Schizosaccharomyces pombe: one gene and its partner. The protein of the gene in region 1 interacts with the protein of each later gene in a pairwise test. Each region holds a gene or a part of one and is shown on either strand. Other genes may lie near its edges.

Region 1 (5,066 bases):
GAATGATAGATCTTCAAATTCGAGGGAGTCCATGTGGAGCTTATAGAAGAATTTCCCTTCACGGGAGAAGAATGTTTACTCGAAGCCTTCAACGTTTCTGGATAATGAGAAGACGTATCCCTTTTCGAAAGTGTTTTCGAAGAATACTTTAGGTTTGGGTTATCAGAATGAGGGTTTTCATTAGCGAGTGAAGGAAATATGTCTTTACAAAGGGGATAATATTTTGCATCCTGATGCACATTAGGTTGATAAGAAATTGTGGAGGAAATATAAGGATGCTTTTGGTTGATGGTATTTGGAGATCGAATCTTTTTCCGAAAGATCGATTCTGTTTCGTTATTAAAGTCAATATCAAAATCATCCCAAAAGCCGTCGTCATTATGCGCAGAGGAAGGCGTACGAAGCGAAGACTGTTCTACGCTGGAAAAGGAAGCTTTTGGATCCATCCTATTTTGTTTTCTGTGCAAAATACTGTTTAGGTCGGTATCTGGGTCTATTTCAAAATCATCTTCAAATGAAGAAAAGCCTTCCGATTCACAATAAGGGGAGTCCGAAACACTGGGATACCGAGCATCATTTTCACTTGAAAGATATGTTTTCTTAAGAGTATCACTAGAGAATGGAATTGGAGGTCTTTGAGAAGCAGTTTCAGATGCTCTAATAGTATTGAATTCATCAACATCGGCATCTTGGTATTTATTGGGACGAAGTGTATTAAACTCATTATTACCTTCTTCACCTTCTTCATCGAACGAAAAATCATCTTCATAGCCTTCTACATTGGAAGAAATTCGGTTCTTGTTGGAAGACAGTTCATGGTTTAAATTATGTACTTGTTGATTCCATTGTTCGACACGAGAATGAGCGCTTGGTACATCAGAAATTGAAAGGCTATTAAGACGACTAATAGAGTCGTCAAACGAGAACCCATCATCCACACTCGTACTAGCACTAGTGGTAGCTATGGATTGAGTAAATAGGCTAGCATTATCGACGTCGGAAGCAAAATCAGGATCATCGTCCCAGCATTCAACTTCAGTCATTCAATCAAAATAAACGTATACTAAAACGGCTTTGCTAAGAAAAGAAATTGGATGCAAAACGCATAGAATGATTACTAACCGTATTCACCCAAAACTGAAAACCCTAAATTTGATTTTCAAAGAAAAAGAAAGTGAGAGAGAAAAAGGATGGTCACTAATTTTGCAAAGAAGTAACCACTGTAAATATTTACGCTTTCAAACCCAGCTTCGAGAAGTAATAAGTTATGAACAGCAATTCAAAAGGACTTCAGGAATATGATTATGATGATGCTTTCAGAGATACAATGAAATTTTGTTTTGTATAGAAAGCAAAAAAAAGAATTTAACTTATTTCAATGACAAAATCAAGGAATCTGGGTTAGCGGTATATTGTTGAAAGAGACGGAGGTTGAGCTAGAGGTATAAGTGTAAACACCAACTTGATCAATTTACGTACTTTGGTTTCAGTACTTTACGAGAAATCAATTTTTAATAAGGTGAAAAATAAAGCATCTACTATTTGCTTGTGTAAACCTAAAAAAAAAATAGTTTTTTTTGGTATCTTTCAGTCATATTTATTTTTGCTAGATTAATCATAGTAAAATACTTAACCATATGTGATTGCCAAAATGCATAGCTGCACCTCACCTTAAAAAAATCTAGGTAATCTAATTAGCATGCAACTACGAGTTAATGTTTTTTAAAAAGTAGATAAATTACAACGAAGGTTAGTAGGTGAAGCAATAAATAGTATGTTTAATCGTCACTCGTATTAGCAAATTCATTCGTCTTAGAATTTTATTTTCCTCCACGAAAATATATATATTTTTCTTTGAACGTTTAAATTATTATAAACAATTGCTTTCTCTGAAATTTATGCCCATTTACAATTTAATTCTGTTTATGGAATCTACATATTCGTTCAAGTATATATGAAATACATTTTAAGGAATCTTTTTTTATTAGATTCTTCGTATAATTTCTAAAATACATACTATTTTCATATACGAGTTTAGATAAATTACAAAAAAAAAAAAAAAAAAAAACGATTAAACTATAGGTTAAAAAGTAAATCTATTAGTTTATAACAAAAGAAACGTCTTTGTTTTATTTTAGTTTATTTTTTTACATCTAAAAAGTTATTGAAATCAACAATGGTAAAGTTGAACAAATTAACTCTTCAATTCATAGGTATGAGAAACCGTTCTTCATTAGTAAATCCAAGTATGAAACATAATCATGTTTTTACCCCTATGCGATCGCGCTATTCATATTTTTCCTAAATTATTTTTAGCATCAATTCTGTCTATAGTTTCATATAATTTCAGTGATTTAATCATGTAATTATTCATGTAAAGTTCATAAAAAATATAGGTTGATGATCTTATTAATGTTTGTACTTAAGAAATGGTAAATCGAACAAGTTGAAAAAGTAAGCATGGCATCTGTCTTATACTCTTGTGCTTTTCTGTAAACCAAGCAGTTAAAAACATTATTGCTTGCTAGTAGCGAAGCAACTTACAAACATTTCTCATAGACGAGAAGTAACTCCATTTTTCAGATAGTCTAATAATAAGTCAAAGAAAAGGATGTTTAACATCATCCTAATCAAATTCATATAAAACTAATAATTGTTTTCCATCGAAGGAATCTATATATCGCACTACAAGGTGCAGTAACGAAACACTCAGATCGTGGAATCCGGATTGTGTTCTTAACCTTACGAGAAAAACGAGCCATTACGGTCGTGACTGTCCAGAAATCGTTCGATTTTTAAATATCTGAATTTAGTCTATTTTTTGATATAAATCCCCCTAATCCCATTCGCTGCTGGCACAGTGTTTTTGTGAAAACAAAACAACCAAGTTGTAAATTTAATTCGCAAGTTGAACAGTGTTTTGATTCTTCACTTGTGTTAATACCAATTCATCCAATCGGTTGTATCATATCTTAAATACCATTTTGGTTACTTTTTTTTTTGGACATTTTGAGCAAATCCGTAAAGTAAATAAAAAGATGTCTGACATTACCGTTGAGCCTATTGGCAAGCAGATGGAGAAGCTTATTCTCGATGTTCAGCAAGAAATTGTTGCTGGTCTCGAAGCTGTCGATGGACAAAAATTCTTCCAAGACAAGTGGACCAAGGGAGAAGGTGGTTATGGTATCAGTTGTGTTATTCAAGATGGCAACGTTTTTGAAAAGGGTGGTGTCAACACAAGTATTGTTCAAGGAAAATTGAATCAAGACGCTGTCCAAAGAATGCGTGCTAATCATGAAGGTATTGATCGTACTGCCAAAGAGCTTCCATTCTTTGCTGCTGGTATCAGTATGGTTATTCACCCTCGCAACCCCATGGCCCCTACTACTCACTTGAACTATCGTTACTTTGAACTTGTAAACAGTGATGGTAAGAAGATTTGGTGGTTTGGTGGTGGAGCCGATTTGACTCCTAGCATTCTCTTTGAAGAAGATGGCAAGCATTTCCACAAATTGCATAAAGAAGCTTGCGATCGCCATGACCCCACTTTCTATCCTCGCTTCAAGAAATGGGCTGATGAATACTTCCTCATCAAGCACAGAAAGGAGACTCGTGGCATTGGCGGTATTTTCTTTGATGATCTTTCTGAGAAAGATCCTCAAGAGTTATTTGCTTTCGTCAAGGATTGTGCCCATACCTTCCTTCCTGCCTATGTCCCTATTATGGAAAAGAGAAAGAACATGGAATTCACTGAAGATGATAAGGAATTCCAACTCATTCGTCGTGGATACTATGCCGAGTTTAACGTTATGTATGACAGAGGTACTTGGTTTGGTCTTCAAGCTCCTGAACCCCGTGTTGAATCTATTCTTATGACCCTTCCATTACATGCTTCCTGGCGTTACAAGTATGAGCCTAAACAAGAGCGTCACAAGGCTCTCCTTAAAGTAACGCATACCCCTATTGAATGGTGCTAGAAAGATTCACAAAAATGACTTTTACTTCAGCATTTAATGAACATCACAATTTTTGGTAATAGCTTTATTCTTTCGTTTGTTTTTAAACTATGCCATGTTACACTAACTCATGTTAAATTTTCTATCATGCCTTTTTTGCTCTTCATTATTTGGAATTCTTAACTGTTTGAATTTGCGATTTTGAATCCCTTTTCTAAGCTAATGAAACAATATTTTACCCTTTAAAAATCCGTATCTTTTATTGAGTAGTGTTTTATAAAGAGTTTTAAAGTAAAGTACAGTACCTATTTGGCTTGAGATCTAATTTCACAATATAAATTTCAACTGATCTGCACTTTCATTAACTTAATTTCAATGTATTTTTCTTTAAAATAATACGAATAAAAAAAAAGAAGATGAAGGTAAAATGTGTGTGTCTTGTCTTTATGATAAAACGACGTCGATCCCCAACGGATTGAGATAGACAAGTCATAAAACGTTAGCATCGGTACAAATTTTACAGTCGCTCTTTTCTTTCATTTGTATCTAATTCCCTTTTACACTCAAATACAGTGGGCCGATTGGGATCTGCTGATAAAGTGCAAATGAACCTGTTGGTTAATATCAAACTCACAGTAAGTGTATATAGGATAATAATCTAACAATCTCCCATCTTACGTACCCTAAAGATTGCATAGTAGCAAACAATTTTGTCTCCGCTGCAGCCAATTCAATGCAGGAGATATCCCCTGACTCCGTTTGTTGGCAAACTCGTTCAGTTTGATTGTTTAGACTTTCAAAGAAGACCTTCTGTTCTTTGGTTGAATCCTTCAAAAATTCTTGTACTTTTTCTTCCATTATGCTCTTTCAGAGGAAGATTCAGTCGTACTGCTATATCTAATAAGTTGAAGTCAGGCTAACGCTGTTTAAGAGCTGCATGTCATGAGTATTGCTGAGTAACTTTAACACGCTTGTAGACAGATATCAAAACTCACAAATGGCCCGTAGTTTAGCAACAACATCAAATGTTGTTCTGTTCTTACAATTTCTTACGATTTTGTTACTAACGTTGAGACTTTAGTCAATCATCAACTCGCTGTGCTTTTAAAT
Region 2 (5,294 bases), on another chromosome or scaffold:
CCGTCATTAACTTTCTTGTTGTATACTTCAATAGGTGTATTATGAAATGTGGTAAAGCGAACTACCCTGCAAACTCCAATGCTTCCTATAGTATCAACAAAAGCAAAACAAGGAGCTGAAACACGAAGCACTTGCAGCATGATGATATGACCAAATTAAATACAAACTTTTGAACAAAAATAATGTTTCGTAAGCTAACTAAAGTAAAGAAAAAAAGTGGTTATTGATCAATTAGTGAATTCATTCAGGAATGATAAAGTGAGAGTGGATATAAAGCTGTAGAACGATTGTAGATGAAAAGCAAAAGATTAGAAAGAAAATATGTCAACTACAAGACGTACTTAGTGATTAAAGACATATGTTTTTAAGTGAATAAATATAAATCGTTGGACAGATGCATGATTATTCTTGCCTCTGAATAGCGTTCGGCAGTGCAGTTTGCTTTTATTATAGTGAATTGCGATGATTTCGGTATATGCGTTTGCGTATTGTCTTAATCATGAGCAAATGTTAATCTGAAACTAGTAAGTCAAGCCTATTTCGTTGGTAAATAGAAACCTGTTCTTAATAAAAAAATTTCTTGTTTAAAAAATTTTAAATTTAATGGAACTAAGTATAAGCAACTATACTTCCATACGATCCCAGATAGGTGGAGTTATTCTGTATATTAGTAAAAAAGTTAATCGCATGGAATTTCAATAATACATTGGAACTCATGTTATTAAAGTATTATTTATTTCTTTTCCATTTTTTGTATATTCAACAAACAATGGCAACTTTATTTTTTGTACTCAATTAAAAAGTACGAGAATAATATTAATTTGGTCAATATCAAGTATTGCTTCAGTTTGTTAATAAGTTTGACAATTGATGTTAAGTGATTTTAAGGAAATCCCGAAGAAAGAAGTTCGTATCGATAGTGAATTTAATTGGTGCTGTAGAGTATGTTTAGTTGAATTCCGTTCATTAGTTTCATAACTATTATTCCAGCAAAACGCAGATATTTATAAAACGCCTATATACGTATTTTTTGTGATTATTTGGTTTGGCTTATTAATATTTCTTATGTTTATTCTTATTTTATTTTATCTTTAGTAGACCACAAACAAATAAATGAATTATATATTAATATACTAGTGTTTACACACAGCTACTGCATGAAGTTATGATCTTGTATGTGTAACAAATGTTGTTAAATGATATATAAAAAAGGAGGGAAATTCTTAAAACGTGATAATAAGGAATACTGAAATGTTTGAGTTAAGAACTTTGAAAGCTTCTTAGTAGATAAAATAAGGCATATGTATTCGCTATTTTAGCATGTGAATTCATGAATGATATTTTAAATTTTCACTAATTACTTTAAAAAAAAGGGTAGTAAGTTGGCTCAGAAATATAAACTGATGCCATTAGCTTAAAAAAAAAAAAGAAAAAGAAAAACTATCTTCATACGCAGTAAAGGCCTTAAATTAATAAACTCTATAAAATTTTTAAGCTCATCTAAGCGAACACCATTCAAATAGTAAAACCGAAGTGAATTGTTAAGGCGATACTTTGTATTCTGAAAGAAGGCAGGCAATAAAGAATTTTAGAAGAAGCACTTAAACAGATACTTCAAATGTTTACTTCCTCAAAATTCCCATAAGTCATTACTTTGTTTGATCTTAGGCATCAACTACGCTAAAGCTCAATGTTATAAAAATATCTTTGAGTAGATGACTGTTTATCCCATAGTATGTACATTATTTGTTCGAAAATTCCCGTTTTTATAAGAGGAAATATTGGCATGATATTAATTACAAAGCAAAAGCTATGATAACTATGGTTAACAAGCTCAACCTAATGATCGTTATAGTGTTTAATATTTTAATGACATGCTAATAAGCGATCTTTGTTAGGTAATCGAGCTGTCGAAAACAAACTACTTTTAAATTTAGTTTATTTCATCCACTTTGACTCTGTAACCTTTTCCAGATTGATTAGCAAAAATCAGTTTTTTATTACTTGAATTTTTAATTGAAATCTTACTGCTTTCTTGTTATAATAAAAAAGCGTAACTGGTATGTCTAAAATCAAAGTTCGTAAAATAGACTGATTTCAAACATTTTCTTTCAAGTATTCACATGAATGCATTTTAGCATATGTTTAGCTAAATGATGATTATGTTTGATAAATGGATCCCTTCATTCGGTTAAAATTTTATAATTACCGATTATTAATATCTGATCATATGCTTACACTGTCGTTAGTAAAATTCTTCCTTTAGCGGTTCGATATTTTCTCGTATTAAAAAAATTTCTGTATTCTACAGCTTACAAATCATTACTTTGATTAAGTTAAACTATGCCTCCGATTAAGACTGCAGTGCTTGGAACTGGTGTGTCAGCTTTTGTTTTTCATTTCCCATTCCTTGAAGCTTTACCTTCAAAATTTGAAATTTATGCATGTTTAGAACGTAGGGCAACAGTTACACAATCCAAAGCACGCTCTGCATATCCCAATATTTTGGTTTATACAAACTTGGATGAATTATTAGCCGACGTCAATATTGAGTTGGTCGTAGTTTCCCTACCTCCCAATGTTCATTCTGAAATTGTAAAAAAAGCTTTGAACGCTGGTAAGCATGTGGTTTGTGAAAAGCCGTTTACTCCTACCTATGAGGAAGCCAAAGAGCTCTATGAACTTGCCGAATCAAAAAGCCTACTACTGGCAATTTATCAAAATCGTCGGTGGGATGGTGATTTTCTGACTGCTAAAAAAATAATAGAAAGCGGAAGACTTGGTCAAGTTGTTGAATTCGAATCTCACTTTGATCGATACCGTCTGGGTCGAAAATCTGGAAGTTGGAAAGATGAACCTAGACCCGGGAACGGAATGGTGTACGGGATAGGCTCACATTTAATTGATCAAGCAGTCTCCTTGTTTGGCACGCCTTACTCTGTTACTGCCAAGCTGGAAGCTCAACGTCAAATTCCTCCTTTGGAGGTGGAAGATTATTTTCGTATTATTCTTCATTACCCTGCTAAAGGAAACAAACTTCCAATCAACGTAATTCTGTCTTCTACTAATGTGTCATGCGGCTGTGAAATGCGATTCTGTATTAAGGGCACTCGTGGTTCTTTTATGAAATTTGGGTTTGACCCACAAGAGTCACAATTACATTCAGGAATGAAGCCTAACGATCATGGATTTGGAACTGATAGATTTGAGCTCTATGGAAACTTATGGACTGTTCCTTTGGATGCTGACGTGAAAGCTTTGCCTGAACCAACTAAAATTACGGTTCCTACTGTTCAGGGAAATTACCGGGACTTCTACGATGCGGTTTTTGAGGAAATCTTAAAAAAAGCTAACGAGTTTCCTATCAAATCTGATCAAGTTTTGGCAGTAGAAAAAATAATGGAGGCTGCATATAAAAGTTCTGAATCTTCTAGCTCGATCCAGTTGTAAAAGAATATTTACAATTTTATTAAATGAAGTAACCCTTCAGTGTGAAAATCCTTGCTTGTTTTTCTTTAAACTAAATGAGAAGTGATCTTAGAATTAAAATAGTGAATATTTGGTTTTAACAATTGCGTTATAACATCTCATAGCCATAATCAATGGTAATGAATTGCATGTTTTAGAAACCGTTTAAAGAATTTGAAATGGGATTACCAAAATCATATAATGTTCAAATGAAGGGAATATTGTTTTCATATTTAAAGCTCCTTTCCAATAAGTGGACGACCACTGGGACTGAACGTACAAAAGACAATAAAGTCATACTAGTGAAAAGATTCACTGTTGCTATTCTGTAATTATCTGTTTAAGCAGCATTAAAATTTTAATGCTCGTTTCATATGATATTGTTTGCGTATTAACGAAGTTTTCACAATTTCAACACTCTATTCTGACTATTGATTCTTCTTGTCGAGCTAAAAAAATTGGTAAATGCATTGATTTTCTATTTAGTATATAGGTATACCAAAACAATATGAAGTGAAATATGCTTTTCTTACAGACACCCAAACTATATTTGAGAGCTTTTTGATTAGGATACTGTATAATAAAGATTGAATCAAACAAACCATACTTTTACGAGAAGTATGATTTATGGTACTCGGTTATTGCCATTCTGTTCATCCTCCATGCTAATTTCACAGCATGTACTAAGTGTTTTCGGAAATAAAAGTAAATCTATCTTATAACTCTCTTACGATGAACAATTTATTTTTCGTTCTGACAATAAGTTTAACTGAAATTTAATTGAATGTCCCAGCCTTTCATTAACCACTAGATCGCCAGTTCAACTAAAAAAGATTTATAAAGTTATTTATTAGCTTTCATCAAAATCCGTTTCAATAAAATTAGAAAATATGCTTTAAATTGTGCGTTTACCCTCATTTGTTACATTAAGAGTCCATATATTTACTCAGTACTTAAGTTAAACAATTGTGCTGCTCATTCTATTCCATCGTATTATATAAAAATTTTATTATTGAGTGTCCGTAATTTACAATCCTATTTCTTTTGAATTTCGGGATGATTGATACGATTACAAGCAAATTATTAAATACTGCTATGAGAGCTACATGTGTCAAATAACTTACTGTTCGAATATATTCGGTGCGCCTTATTTTAATCTTTGTTTTTAAGAATACTTCTTTTTTCTATTTTCTCAATAAAGGTTTATAGTTCTTATTGTTTATTGAATAGTGATTATCAACGAAAAGTGGTAAACAAGCTTCAAACCAGCTACATAGCTCAGTATTTACTTAAGAAAACAGTAAACTGTGGTGTGTGCTTCGTTACAATATGCTGTTTTCTTATACGAATAAGACAAAGCAATTATTATTATACTACTTGAATGTAATAACTAATGTAAGTGCGACTAGAATAAAGTCAGATGGTGTATTTTGATATATTGTTAAACCCACTCTAAGAAGTTATAGTATGCAGAATGAATAATACTAGAGTACATGGTATAGCGATAAGTAAGGAATTTTCAGTTTACTAATCGGTAAACCGGATAGAGAAGTGCATAACGAGTTTACATCACAGAATGAAAGAATGCGGTAAACTGGGCAAGTTATTCCATATACATCTTCCATTACTACTTTCGGGTTTGCTCATTAACCAACCACTTATTTTATTTGAAATCTGTTAAATATGGGTGTCGAAAAGCAAGTTATTTCTGTAAGTGTTGAAAAAATCGGTAATTTCTTTTGAATCTACAAATATCTTCTCTGGTTATGTTTGTAAACAATTCATCCGTGTTAGTCGGTTCACCACTGATTTGCATTTCCTTAATT

What was found.
Region 2: the proteins of hem13 (region 1) and SPOM_SPBC115.03 interact in a two-hybrid assay, tested with the Schizosaccharomyces pombe proteins (one large-scale study listed by BioGRID).

What each region holds. Positions count from the first base shown.
Region 1 is NC_003424.3:963,392-968,457, forward strand, and holds hem13 (coproporphyrinogen III oxidase), read left to right. Parts: upstream 1-2,744; 5' UTR 2,745-3,038; coding exon 3,039-3,977; 3' UTR 3,978-4,200; downstream 4,201-5,066. Other genes in the region: two-component GAP Byr4, read right to left, coding at 1-1,043; SPOM_SPAC222.17 (uncharacterized protein), read right to left, coding at 4,474-4,567, 4,639-4,814.
Region 2 is NC_003423.3:632,500-637,793, reverse strand, and holds SPOM_SPBC115.03 (gfo/idh/mocA family oxidoreductase), read left to right. Parts: upstream 1-1,909; 5' UTR 1,910-2,060; exon of another isoform or gene 2,061-2,098; intron 2,099-2,229; exon of another isoform or gene 2,230-2,249; 5' UTR 2,250-2,343; coding exon 2,344-3,450; 3' UTR 3,451-4,070; downstream 4,071-5,294. Other genes in the region: AFG1 family ATPase, read right to left, coding at 1-140; FKBP-type peptidyl-prolyl cis-trans isomerase Fkh1, read left to right, coding at 5,152-5,178.